Diceros bicornis minor: one gene and its partners. The protein of the gene in region 1 purifies or fractionates together with the protein of each later gene. This does not show direct contact. Links are inferred from orthologs where the notes say so. Each region holds a gene or a part of one and is shown in the gene's direction. Other genes may lie near its edges.

Region 1 (3,745 bases):
TTTTTTATTATCATGAATATAGTTTTTTGCCTTCTAGTAAACACCATATTTGTACCCCACTTAGAGCACTGAGCACAGTGGGCCTGATATCCTGGCAACTGTGTCCCCATCTCGTTCATTTCCTATGAGTCCCTTACGCCACAGCAGCACTCAAATGTTTGTTCAGTTGGATTAAATTATTGACCCAAGGCCTCACCCTTTTATTTGCTCCTGGTCTAAAAACATGAAAGTAACTACACTTAGTAGTTTAGGCTTGTCATAGAGTCACTGGAAATTTCTATCAGCAAAGGGGACACTGTTGTTCTCCTATCCTTGAAATTTCAACTCTTCTTTATGGGAGATCGTTATGAACAAAGCAAAAAGGAGGTGTCCTTTGCCCTGGGAACATGTTTATTTTGAAATAATTGCAAGACAAAAATGTTTTTAAAAAAAAACTTGTGTGGAAAAGGTCTGATTTCAGAAAATTGTTACAATACTGAGCAACAGAGCGCGTTATAGGAAGAGAAGGCCTACAAGATGAAAACATCATGGGAAATCAACTCCCCTGGAGGGTCCACTCGCTAACAGAGTTGATGGGAGTGAGCACTGGTTATTACCTTGCAGGAGGACAATGCAGCAACACGTATAAAAAGCTTTAGAAACATTCACGCCTATTAACCCAGTAGGAAACGTAGTCTAAAGAAATAGAGCTATAAAGATTCTTGCATAAACTTGTTCATCCCAGCATTGCTTCTCAAATAGGGACAATTCAACTGTCCAATAATAGAGGAATTGGTTAAATTAAGGTACATGTGCATAATGCAACGAATAGTAAGCAGCCATTAAAAACGTTGTAACGATTCAGCATGATTTCTTACTTTTGTTTAAAACATGTTTGTTATGCACATAAAGAAATAACTGAGAGGAAATATACCAAAATATCGGCATTTCAATGGTCTGCGAACAAACATTATCTCCAGAACTCGGCGCAAAGCAACAGGACATGTAAACGCTCAACGCAGTAAAGACAATTAATTTTCCTGAATGAACATCTCTTATCTCTGAATAATGCTATGGCGTATGGTCTTCTCTTTTTTATAGCTTTAGGTTCCGAATTTTCTAGAAGGACCTCGTCATCACATAAGTTATGGTTCTCACATAAAAAATATAGGTGAACGCCCTTTGCATGGCCTCGGGCTGGAGTTGGTCGGGGACGCGGGGAGCGGGGTGTCTGGAACCCAGAGATCCTGCCAAGGCCGACGCCAGGCCCGGCCGGGGCGGGCTGGGCCCGCGTCTGTCAGAGCGCAAAGATGGCGGCCGGCCCGCCCCGCCGCCCTCCGAGGCGCGCCCAGCGGCTGGAGCCGAGCGCTCCCGAGCGTCCCCGAAGCCGAGAGGAACCCCGGGAGCCGCGCGGGCGGGAGCGGCCCCGCCCCGGAGCCTGGGAGCGGCGGCGCCGGCGCGGGGGAGGGGAGGCCGGATGTGAGTGGAGCAGCCATTTCCTGTTTCTCTGCAGTTTTCCCCAGCTTTGGGTGGTGGCCGCTGCTGGGCTTCGGCTTCCCGTCGGCGGAGGGCGAGGCGGCGTGGACCGCGGCCCCGGCACCCCGCGCCCCGCCGCCCGCAGCCGCGCGCCCGTCCGCCCGCCGCGCCCCGAGCCCGCCGCTTCTCGCCTCAGCGCCCGGCCGCCGCCGCCGCGGCCCAGCGAGCGGCCCAGATGCAGGCCATCAAGTGTGTGGTGGTGGGAGACGGGTGAGTGCGGGGCCGGGCCGGGGGCCGGAGGACCGGGGGTCGGGCCGGGCGGGCGGGCGCGCGCCACGGGCTCGCGTGGGGCCTGGGCCTCTGCGGGGCGGGGGGCGCAGGCCGCCACCCCTCCCCGGGCTCGGGCGGCGCGGGCCTGGTTCCCGCTGGTTTTTTTTTTTCGGTGGGGGAGGGCACCACCGGTCGCGGCCGGAGGGAAAAGTGAACTCCACCCTCCCGCCTGCTCCCCGCGCCGCTGACCGCCGGCCAGGCCGAGCTCCCCCAGCGCCGCCCCGCCGCCCTCCCGCGTCGGCCTGTGGATTAAGTGGGCTTGCAGCGTCGCCTTGTTACGGATCAGGACCCTTCCTTGGTTTTTGTATGAACCTCTCGAGCCCCACTGAGAGCGTCCGAGGGTGGCGCCGGTCGGGTCGGTGATATTTGACGAATATTTGCACGGGCTGGTTGGGTGACCCTTCACTGAGTTACTGGGGGGTGTCTTCCACTTGTACTGCTTCGCCACTTTTAGGATTTTTTAAATGATCATTTTTGCTATTTCCCTGGAGAAACTTCTAAGATTCTCACTGCGAGAAGCTGGGTGTGATTGAGAACGTTCTCTGAACGTGGTGTGGTCATTGAGGAAAAAAAAAGAAAGAAATTGCCTTTCGATTCATGGGTTAGGTATGGGATGTAGCAGAACAGGCTCCCGGAGCCGAGCTGCCCTGTGACTCAAGACATTTCTTTTCATGCCTGTCCGTGGTGGTTACAGGCCCTCGAGGAAGACAAGACTTGTCTTATGCACTTTTTTTCTCCCATAGAAACAAGAATCTCAGTGTAATCCGAGCAAAATTGTGTGTCTCAGCGTTGCTCGAGTAGTTGGGCGTTAACAAGGAAGCTCCAGGAATTACTACCAGTTTCATCAAACTCAGAATGCAATTGGTCCATTTTTTGAGTCTTGTAAAGTCGAAGGAAGAGTTCTGGCATCACTGTTCCTTTTGATTAATAGTCCCCAAACTTGTCATTAGGACTGATGGTGCTTTTATGCCTCTCAGTGAATTTGTGAATTCTCAGCTTTTTTCGGTCATTGTAAGTTAGACGTTTGAAATTGTTTCTCTAACTAATTCAGATGCAGGAAGGACAGTTAGACAACTTATTTATTAAAGATGCTGGTCTGTCGGATTTGTCAGACTGACAAATGTGAGGGATTATTAACCCTTCATGGTTCTATGTAAATAACTAAAAATTGTTAGTTTCACCTACTTAGGAATATGTGTGGTACTTGGTTTTTTTTTAACCTTTTAAAAGGCAGCTTTACTTTGATGTGGGGGAAAATGTCTAATTAGCTGGTTTAACAGTGAAGTCGTTTAAATGAACTTTTGATCCTTTTGCATAATGAATTAGCTAAACACGTCACTTTGTCTTAGGAACATTTTAAATTATCTGAATTTCCTTTAAAAATTAAAAATGCTTAATCAATAATGCTTAGAATATGAAGTAATACTAGTTTTTTAAAAAATCAAATTGCTGATAATTCAATATCTAACCACACACAGTATGTAATATTCTTACTTTAAAATAACTAACACATAAGCACAACGGATATATTTAGTGTATTTAATAGTACTTACAGATTATGGACCTCTACTGTTTGTATTGGCTTGTTTGGTCAAATACTTGTTGAATGCCTACTATGGGATCTGGATCCTTCCTTTAAATCCCCACCTCACCACTTATGGGGAAAACCTGAGGGTATAGCTCATCGCCCCCAGGAGAGGTGCCCCTAGGGGACATTGTGAGGATTAAACAAGATGCTAGATGTTAAGTGCCTCACAGGTGCCTGGCCCCTGCTGAGTAAGTGCCAGCTGCCAGTATCATTATTTCTGTTTCTGTTACTCTGAGGCACTGCTAGGCTCTGTGAAGGGAGTGTTAGGCATGAAACACAGTTCCTGGCCTATTCAGTCAGTTTTTTGATACTATATTTGACACTGACGTTGACTAGGGCTAAGCCATATTAGAAGTGAAATGTACCTTTACA
Region 2 (3,745 bases), on another chromosome or scaffold:
ATGTATTTCGGGTGGTGTGACTCATGAGCATTACTTGTCTCCTCCAGGGAAGCAGCCTGCCCACCCACAAGTCACTGCTGCTCTGGCACCGCTGGGATAAAATCGACCAACTCAGGAACCTCTGCCCAAGGACTCCCCTCCTCCCACTTTGTTACTGAACAGGACTCCCTGCTGCTTGGGAACCCTCCCTTAATCGTGTCACCACTGACCTGGCCCCCAGGCCTGGTCCTGGGCACCCCTGTCCTCTCCCCACAAGCAGAGTGCTCTAGCCTTTTGCTGCTGCAGGGATGGGGGCTGGGTGCACGCGGGGCACACGTGTATAGGGGAGCATGCTCAGTGCAGGGGTGCACCCACGTGCGGCCTGCGCCTCCGCTCCCTGTCCCCCCCACCTCTGCCGAGTCTCCGTGTGAAGTCCAGGAAGAAAGGCCACCACAAAAAAAGGTCCCTGTGTACTATGTGCACGCACCCTGGACACACACCTCTGGTGGCCCAGAAACAACGTGGGTGTGTTTAAGAAGAATGCCAAGTGGATATTACTGCACATAGGCACAGTGGTCATTCCTCGGGAGGGAGGCCTTTAAAAACTGCCCAGATCCTTTCCTCTCTGGATGGACGCATGAAGGAAGGATAGATGTATTTTTAGCCCGGAGGCAGGGGGATACACTGCATGACCTCTCTGGCATTTGGGCGTCCATATTGTTGGTAGTGTGCTTAATCAGCAAGGGTGTGACCGCACACACACCTGGACACTCAGATGTGGACACATGGGGCACGAGGACGCACATCTCACCCCAACCAAAGATAGGCGGGTAACCCAAACCATAGCCCCTTGCCGAGGAGGGGGGCCTGGGCCTCCAGCTCCTTGTTCTCTTCCCTGATTCCGAGGGGTCACTGACCCTGGGCCCGAGCCCCGTGGGCCACTCTCCATCTCGAAAGTGAAGGGGATGGGGCTGTGAGGGTGACTCACGCCGCCTCCAGGCCAGGGGAGCGCCGGAGCGGAGGCCAGGGCCGCAGGCGACGCTGCCCGCTCGGGCCTGGCGGCCGCGGCCGCGGCCCCTTTAAGCGCCCCCGCCCCTCCGCCCGCGCTCCCGGCTTCCTTTCTCCGGGAGGCGCGGCCGGCGGGGCCCGGCGGAGGGGCGGGTGTGCAGGCTGCCCCTCCCCCGGTGGGCAGGGCCTGCGCCGCTTCCTGCGGGAGCGGCCGCGAGCCGCGCAGGGGGCGGAGAGAGCGAGCGGCGAGCGGCGAGCGGCGGCGGGGCGGCGCGGGGCGGCGCGGGGCGGAGGGCGCCCGAGGGCGAGCGGGCAGGCGGGCACGGCGGGTCCCGGGCCAGTCCCGGGGGCGGACGGTTGGCCGGGCGCGCGGAGCCTCGCCGGGGCCGAGGCGGGCCGGGCAGCAGGGGCCGCCGCCGCCCGGGCCCGCCGCCCGCGCCCGCGCCCCCCACGCTGGCCCAGAGGGCTGCGGCCGCGTCGCCGCTGAGGATGTCCCGGAAGGGGCCGCGAGCGGAGGTGTGTGCGGACTGCAGCGCCCCGGGTAAGCGGGCCGGGCCGGGGGCGGGACCGCGCACCGAGGCCGCCGCCGGGCGGGCGCCGGGGCCTGGCGGGAGCGCCGTGCGGGGCCGGAGGGCGGGGCGGGCCTGGGGGCTGCGGCCTCCGGCCTCAGCCCCCGCCCGAGCCACTGCGGAGCCGCGTCCTTGGCGGGAGGGCCGGCCTGGGGGGGGCCCTTGTTTCCTCGCGTCCGTGGACGAGCGAAGAAGGACATTCCCGGCGCCGCCTCCCACCCTTCAGTCTGAGGAAGGCGGGCAGCTAGTTGCCCCCCCTCCTATCTCCGTATCCAAACGGAAGCGCCAGCCTGGGGGGGGCGGGAGGGCTGTGGCGGAGGCCGGCAGGGTTTAGGAGGTGGGGGCGAGTGTGGTTTTGTGTCATCTCAGTGCCGCCCCCGCGTCTTGCACCTGCTGCTCGCATGGTCTGCGCGCCCGCTGGGGTGGCGGAGGGCAAGGGGCAGAGAGCTGGGTGGATGGGCCAGGGGGGCCTGGCTACTGTTTCCTCGGGAGCAGATGAGAGGGTGGCTACTCCTAGGACTCCCTGCCCCTGGTTCCCAAGGCTGGGGCTCCTTGCAGGGCCTGGTGTTCAGGGCCAGTATGAGCCTGGGCATCTTCCCCTGAGGCATCCCCAGGCCGCCTGGTGTCTGGCAGCAACTAGACTCGGCTTTTTCTGTGCCCTAGTAAGGCCTGCTTGGGAAGGTGGGCTTGCATTGCCCCAGCCTGGGCACAGACCCCTCCCGGTCCCCTAGCCCAGTCTGGCCAGAAATGGGTAGGGAGCAGTGCTGAGGGGTGCCTAGATTCCCGGGATCCAGCTGGCTTCCTGGCCTGCCTCCTGGCTGTATTTACAGTGGTGTTTCCCTTCTCCTTCACAGCAGAGTCAGGTCCAGGCTGATGTGAAACTCCCCTGACCTGCTGAGGAAGTGAGGTGCAGTGACCTGAAAGGCTGCTCCCTTCTAATGTGGGGGGACACTGCCAGTGATGGGGCTCAGCAGCTGGCCTGGGGAAGGAAGCCCTGGCCCCTGTCCATCCTGTCTTTAGAAAAGGAGCCATCTCTGTGGGAGACATCTGGGCAGGCTCAGGGGGTCTCTGAATTCCAGGGGGACTGTGGGCACAATTAAGTGTGCGAGTGTGGGGTGCTGTTTTATGGGCCCATAACTTCCAGCTACCCTTTGCACAGGCCCAGGACCCCAACAGGTTAAGACCCACAGACACTCTGGTGGTTCTGATGGCTCCAAGCTAGAGTGTTTGGGCACTGTGGATGCCTGGCAGAGGCCTGGTCCTCTGTGGGTGGTTATGACCCCGAGGCCTCCTCTCAGGGCATGTCATGGTCTAAAGGGTTCTGAAGAAGCTATCTGGGGGATATGTGTTCTTACCCCTAATTAGCTGGAAACTATGATCCCCTTCTCCCAACCACAGGAAAGTCTGGGGTTGGCAGGGCTGAGAGGAGAGCTTGCCCTCTACATGTCTGTCCCAGGATGTTCTGCACCTCTGCTGGGTGGGCATAGCACTGAGCGGGCAAGAAGGGCTGGGAGGGGGGTGCTTAGCAGTCACCCTATCAGGGGAGCCTGGATTTTAGTGTTACCTGTGTTTCCAGCTCACTCTGTGACCCGTGGCAAGACTTGCCTCATTCTGGGCTTTAGTTTCCTCAACTGTGAGGCAAAGAAGTTGGAGTAGAAATGGTTTTGAGGACCATCCCATCTCCAAGTCTGTTGTCCTGATTCTGGGCCAGAGGGACATAGGGCAGCATCAGCAAGGGTATCTTTTCTCCATTGCATTTAACTGTTTGGCTGAAGCCTCTGGATGCCCACTGGGCTCCGGGAGGAGTGGTGTGTATCTGTGTTGAACTGCCCAGCTCCTATCCCCAGTCCTCATCCCACAGGCATCTGTGCCCTGGCTACCTCCTTTTCCCCTTGTCCAGAATACAGGTCAGGAAGAGGCAGGTGAGGTGGGCAGGGTGCTGACAAAGTCTTACTCATTACTCCCCCACCCCCCAGCACCTAGCATGGTATCTGGCACATAGCAGCCACTCCCCAAGCATTTGGATGCTTGTCAGGGCCCCAGCTGGCTACTTGGGGCTACCCCCCACCCCCACTCTATGATGCTTGGAGTGGCATTCTCAGTCTGGGAACTGCAGCAGCCCAGGTAAGAGGCTTGAGAGTAACAGCAGTCTGGAGCCCAGACCCAGAGCACCCACCCCACTAGCCTCC
Region 3 (3,745 bases), on another chromosome or scaffold:
AGTAACACTCTCCGGTCAAAATGCCAGAGGACTAAAGACATCTTTCCTAACAAATTTTTTTCTATTTACTTAGGAAATAGTGTTCTCTCTACCTAAACTATTATCCATTTTAACACGTTAGCTAGTGTTTAAAGAGCTAGTTAAGCTGTATTGGGTGAACCCATAATTATTCAAGCTACTGAAGATCTACAGGGCTGTATAATTCCAAAAATTGTTCTCTTAGGCTTTTAATGTACACATTTTCTTTTTCTTTTAAAGATGTGCCCTTCCTAATTATTTTATATTGAGACTAATATTAGAATAAATATGCAATCCCTAAGAACATACAAGTCACATACTAAGTGGGGAAGGAAGAGAGGAGAAACAGGCATTTGTTGCAGAAAATCCACATACACGATGTATTAATCACCTATGCTCAGTTAACACGGTGTTCAGTCCAGTGTGCATTATTTACTATTAAAATAAAGAGACAGTACAAAAGATGAAGGACAGTCCTCCAACCCACGTTTGCCAAAGGTCTTCATCTTTTCTCCTTGCACTACTTCTCTCTGAAGCAGACAAAAATGCTAGAAAGTCAGATGACGCCATAACCACTTCTACTTGGCAAAGTGCCACAAGTGCGCTCTGGCTAGAGGAAAAGCGGAGGCAAAAAATCAGATAAACCACATCTTCGAAATCAACTTTTGTGGAAGTGATGAAAGACACAAAAAGTCATTTGTGATGTGGCCCTTCTCCAAACAGTCCTGTAACGAAACACTTAGGAGAAATGTATTCCTTCTTGCTCTCCATCTCTTCACGCCTAGTGATCCTTGATGGATGTAAAATGGGGAAAATACCAACTACCTCACATGTTGGGAAGACCAAAAGAAATTTATTTAACACCTATATACCACTTACTCTGTGCCAGGCCCACTTTGTTTTACAAGTATTAACACGTCTAATCCTCTCCACAGGCCTGTGAGGTAGGTACTATTACCTTTATTTTACAGATGGGGAAACTGAGGCACAGAAAAATAACTAAACTTGCTGGAGGTTTCCAGTAAACATCTGGCAGAAGCTGGATTAGAATTGAAGCAGGCAGGTCTGAGCCCCACTCGAGCACCACTGGGCTGCCTCTCTGAGATGACTTAGCCCTCCAGGCAGCCCCTGCTCTGGGGAGGCCTCCGGGATGGTTGCTGATGACCGCCTGTTCATCATCACTGTTATTTCTGTTTTACGACCCATTTCTACTCTTCGGAGAAGCTTTCTCCAGCCAGCGAACATCACTTACTGCTCCCTGACTCAGAGTAGCCCTTTTTTCCCTCATGCCTCACCCTCCTGAGCCCCCGCGGGTTTCCCACCCTGATCCAATGCCTGCGCCCCACCCCTCCCCACCCCCTGTGAAGCCTCAGCCTCCAGCAGGAGAGTCACCGCCGGGGCGTTTCCTGATCCAGATCGTGCAGGTGGGCCTGGCTGGGCTGGTTCCCTCCTAGCACAGAGGAGACCCCTGGTAAACGTCTGGGGGAATGGGAGGTCCAAAGAAGTCTCAGAGTGAAAGGCTGGTGAGCCCAGCCCTCTGTTCCAACGAGACCTGTGAGGACTGGACGAGGTGGCTGGCGCACGTGTGGCCGCGGTATGGAGAAGCTTCCACTTGGAGAGAGTGGGGCAGGTGATCGGGCTTAATTCCAAATCTTAACATTTACTTCAACGACCAGCTCAATTAAAAAAAAATAAAAACAACTTTGGAGTTACTGTTCCAAGTCAGACAGCAACTCAACGGCCTCTGTTCTCCCTCCACCAAACCGCAAGAGGAAGCTAAAGAGACGGCACCACTCTCCCCGGGGCAGTAAGTGCTTCCTTCTATCTGACCTCTATCCGGCCTGCGGCAGCTGCAGCTTCAGTCTTTCCCCTGGTTCTGAGTTCTCTCACCAGTGGATGCAGGAAAATATCCCCGCCCACACTAAACGGGGAACTCGGGGCCAAGCAACGGAGATACCCTGAAGGGCCGCGCGCGGTTTCAGGGTGAGGGGTGGGGATTGTAAATCGCTCATTGCCTTTCAGTTCCAGGACAAGAATCGGGCCCGAAAGAGCCTGAGTCACCAACCGGCGCCACCGGCCGGTAGCCACAGCCCCGGCTTCCGCTTGGAGCTGGAGAGCGGCGTTTCCCGTGAGCCCGCGGGCGCGCGGGGACTACGACTCCCGGCATGCTCCGAGGCCGCCGGAGTTAACCCTTCAGGGCCCGCGGCCGCCCTGCGCCCCGCCTCCGCCCCTTACCTGGACCCTGCAGGGTGAGTTTTAGGGAGCTGGGGAGGGACTCTTTCCTTAATTTAAGACTTAGGTGTGTGTGTGTGTGTGTGTGTGTGTGTGTGTGTGATGTACTCTCGGCGGGAGAGATGATTCTGATTTTCCTAAAATGGGACAATTTGCAGTAATGAGATTCAGACGCTTTTTTGCGGGTGGGAGACCCAGCATCAACTCTCTGAACCCCAGGGCCTAGGTAGAATCACGGCTGTCTTCTTCAGAATGCTATTTAAATCCTCTCCTTCTCCCCCTCCCCCCAACAAAAGTAGCCAGCAACCCCTCCCCTCTGCCAAAGGCCCCCACTCCGACCCTTCCCCAGCGCCCCAGTGAGGTTTGTTACCTGGCAGCCAAGTCAGGGTTTTTGTTATCCCTCTGACTGGGGGATGAGTACTCATGGAGCCCATGGAACCTCCCACATCCTTTTGGATTAGAGGTTTTAGAATTTAGGCCGTTCGCCTCTCAGAGCCTGCCCTTCCCCCCCAGGTGTCACCACGGAGTCCCTGCAGGTTCAGCAGGCACCCTGCCTTTGTCCGACTTGAATGACCACGGGCCTGTGGAAAAGGGTTCCTTCCCTGGGAGTATGGGTGGTGGGGGTTAAGCCCGATCCAACCTTTGCCCCCACCCCCACCCCTAAAACAACACTGGGCACAGGAGACAATGGGGGGGTCACACTCGTCTTTCTATTATTATTCTTTCTCTGTTGTGCATAGTTCCAGTCCTGGGCTGGGAGGGAGGGGGACAGGGACTATAAGTGGTCAGCTACCCCCGCTCCTCATCTATGGTCAGAGGGGAATGGAGGGGCTGCTTGTTTTTTTCATGTTTCACTGCTCCCAGACCCCACTTTAACAATCCCAGTTCACAAGGTCCCCTCCCTGCCTCGACCATGAAGAGTCTAAGGCTGCTAGCAAAAAAGGGCTACTCTGAGTCAGGGAGTTGAGAGCCTGGCATGCCTGAATCCCCTTCTTTGCTTCACCTCTGTCTCAGTGTCTGTCAGTGGCAAGCATCCTATCCTCACCCCAGAGGTGAACTCCCCCATTACAGGCAGTCTCTGGCTTCCTCTCCTTCCCCCCAAAGGGGCCATTGTTCTGGCCAGCATTTGGGGCGGGGTGGACAGAAGGGAGAAGACCTTGGGACAGGAGTCCTGAACCACAGGAGGCCAGGGGAGTGAGGGCAGGCCAGCATATCTCTCCTCTTATCTCACCCTTCCCACCGCCAACTGGCTCCCTGCCCCTGCCCCCGCCCCTTGACATCCCAGACTCCCTGGCTATTTAAACAGAGATGGGTGCCCCGATCGGCACACTGTCCTTTGGCCACTGGACATCATGCCTCCCAAGAAGGATATTCCTGTGAAGAAACCAGCAGGGCCCGCTGTCTCCAAGCCTGCTCCCAAACCAGCAGCAGTAGGGGCCCCTACAGCCAAGCCCAAGCCTGAGCCAGAGCCAGCTGTCCCTCTACCTGTGCCTCC

Evidence for each region.
Region 2: the proteins of RAC1 (region 1) and GIT1 purify together in Homo sapiens (affinity purification with mass spectrometry; 3 studies listed by BioGRID). This does not show direct contact. The link is inferred for Diceros bicornis minor from reciprocal best matches to the Homo sapiens genes RAC1 and GIT1.
Region 3: the proteins of RAC1 (region 1) and MYL6B purify together in Homo sapiens (affinity purification with mass spectrometry; 3 studies listed by BioGRID and IntAct, with this or other methods). This does not show direct contact. The link is inferred for Diceros bicornis minor from reciprocal best matches to the Homo sapiens genes RAC1 and MYL6B.

Annotation. Positions count from the first base shown.
Region 1 is NC_080765.1:8,897,242-8,900,986, forward strand, and holds the start of RAC1 (ras-related C3 botulinum toxin substrate 1), read left to right. Parts: upstream 1-1,504; 5' UTR 1,505-1,690; coding exon 1,691-1,725; intron 1,726-3,745. UniProt on the Homo sapiens protein: Plasma membrane-associated small GTPase which cycles between active GTP-bound and inactive GDP-bound states.
Region 2 is NC_080757.1:18,092,265-18,096,009, forward strand, and holds the start of GIT1 (ARF GTPase-activating protein GIT1), read left to right. Parts: upstream 1-1,270; 5' UTR 1,271-1,476; coding exon 1,477-1,528; intron 1,529-3,745. UniProt on the Homo sapiens protein: GTPase-activating protein for ADP ribosylation factor family members, including ARF1.
Region 3 is NC_080756.1:12,614,751-12,618,495, reverse strand, and holds the start of MYL6B (myosin light chain 6B), read left to right. Parts: upstream 1-1,437; 5' UTR 1,438-1,825; intron 1,826-2,040; 5' UTR 2,041-2,267; intron 2,268-3,556; 5' UTR 3,557-3,602; coding exon 3,603-3,745. UniProt on the Homo sapiens protein: Regulatory light chain of myosin. Does not bind calcium.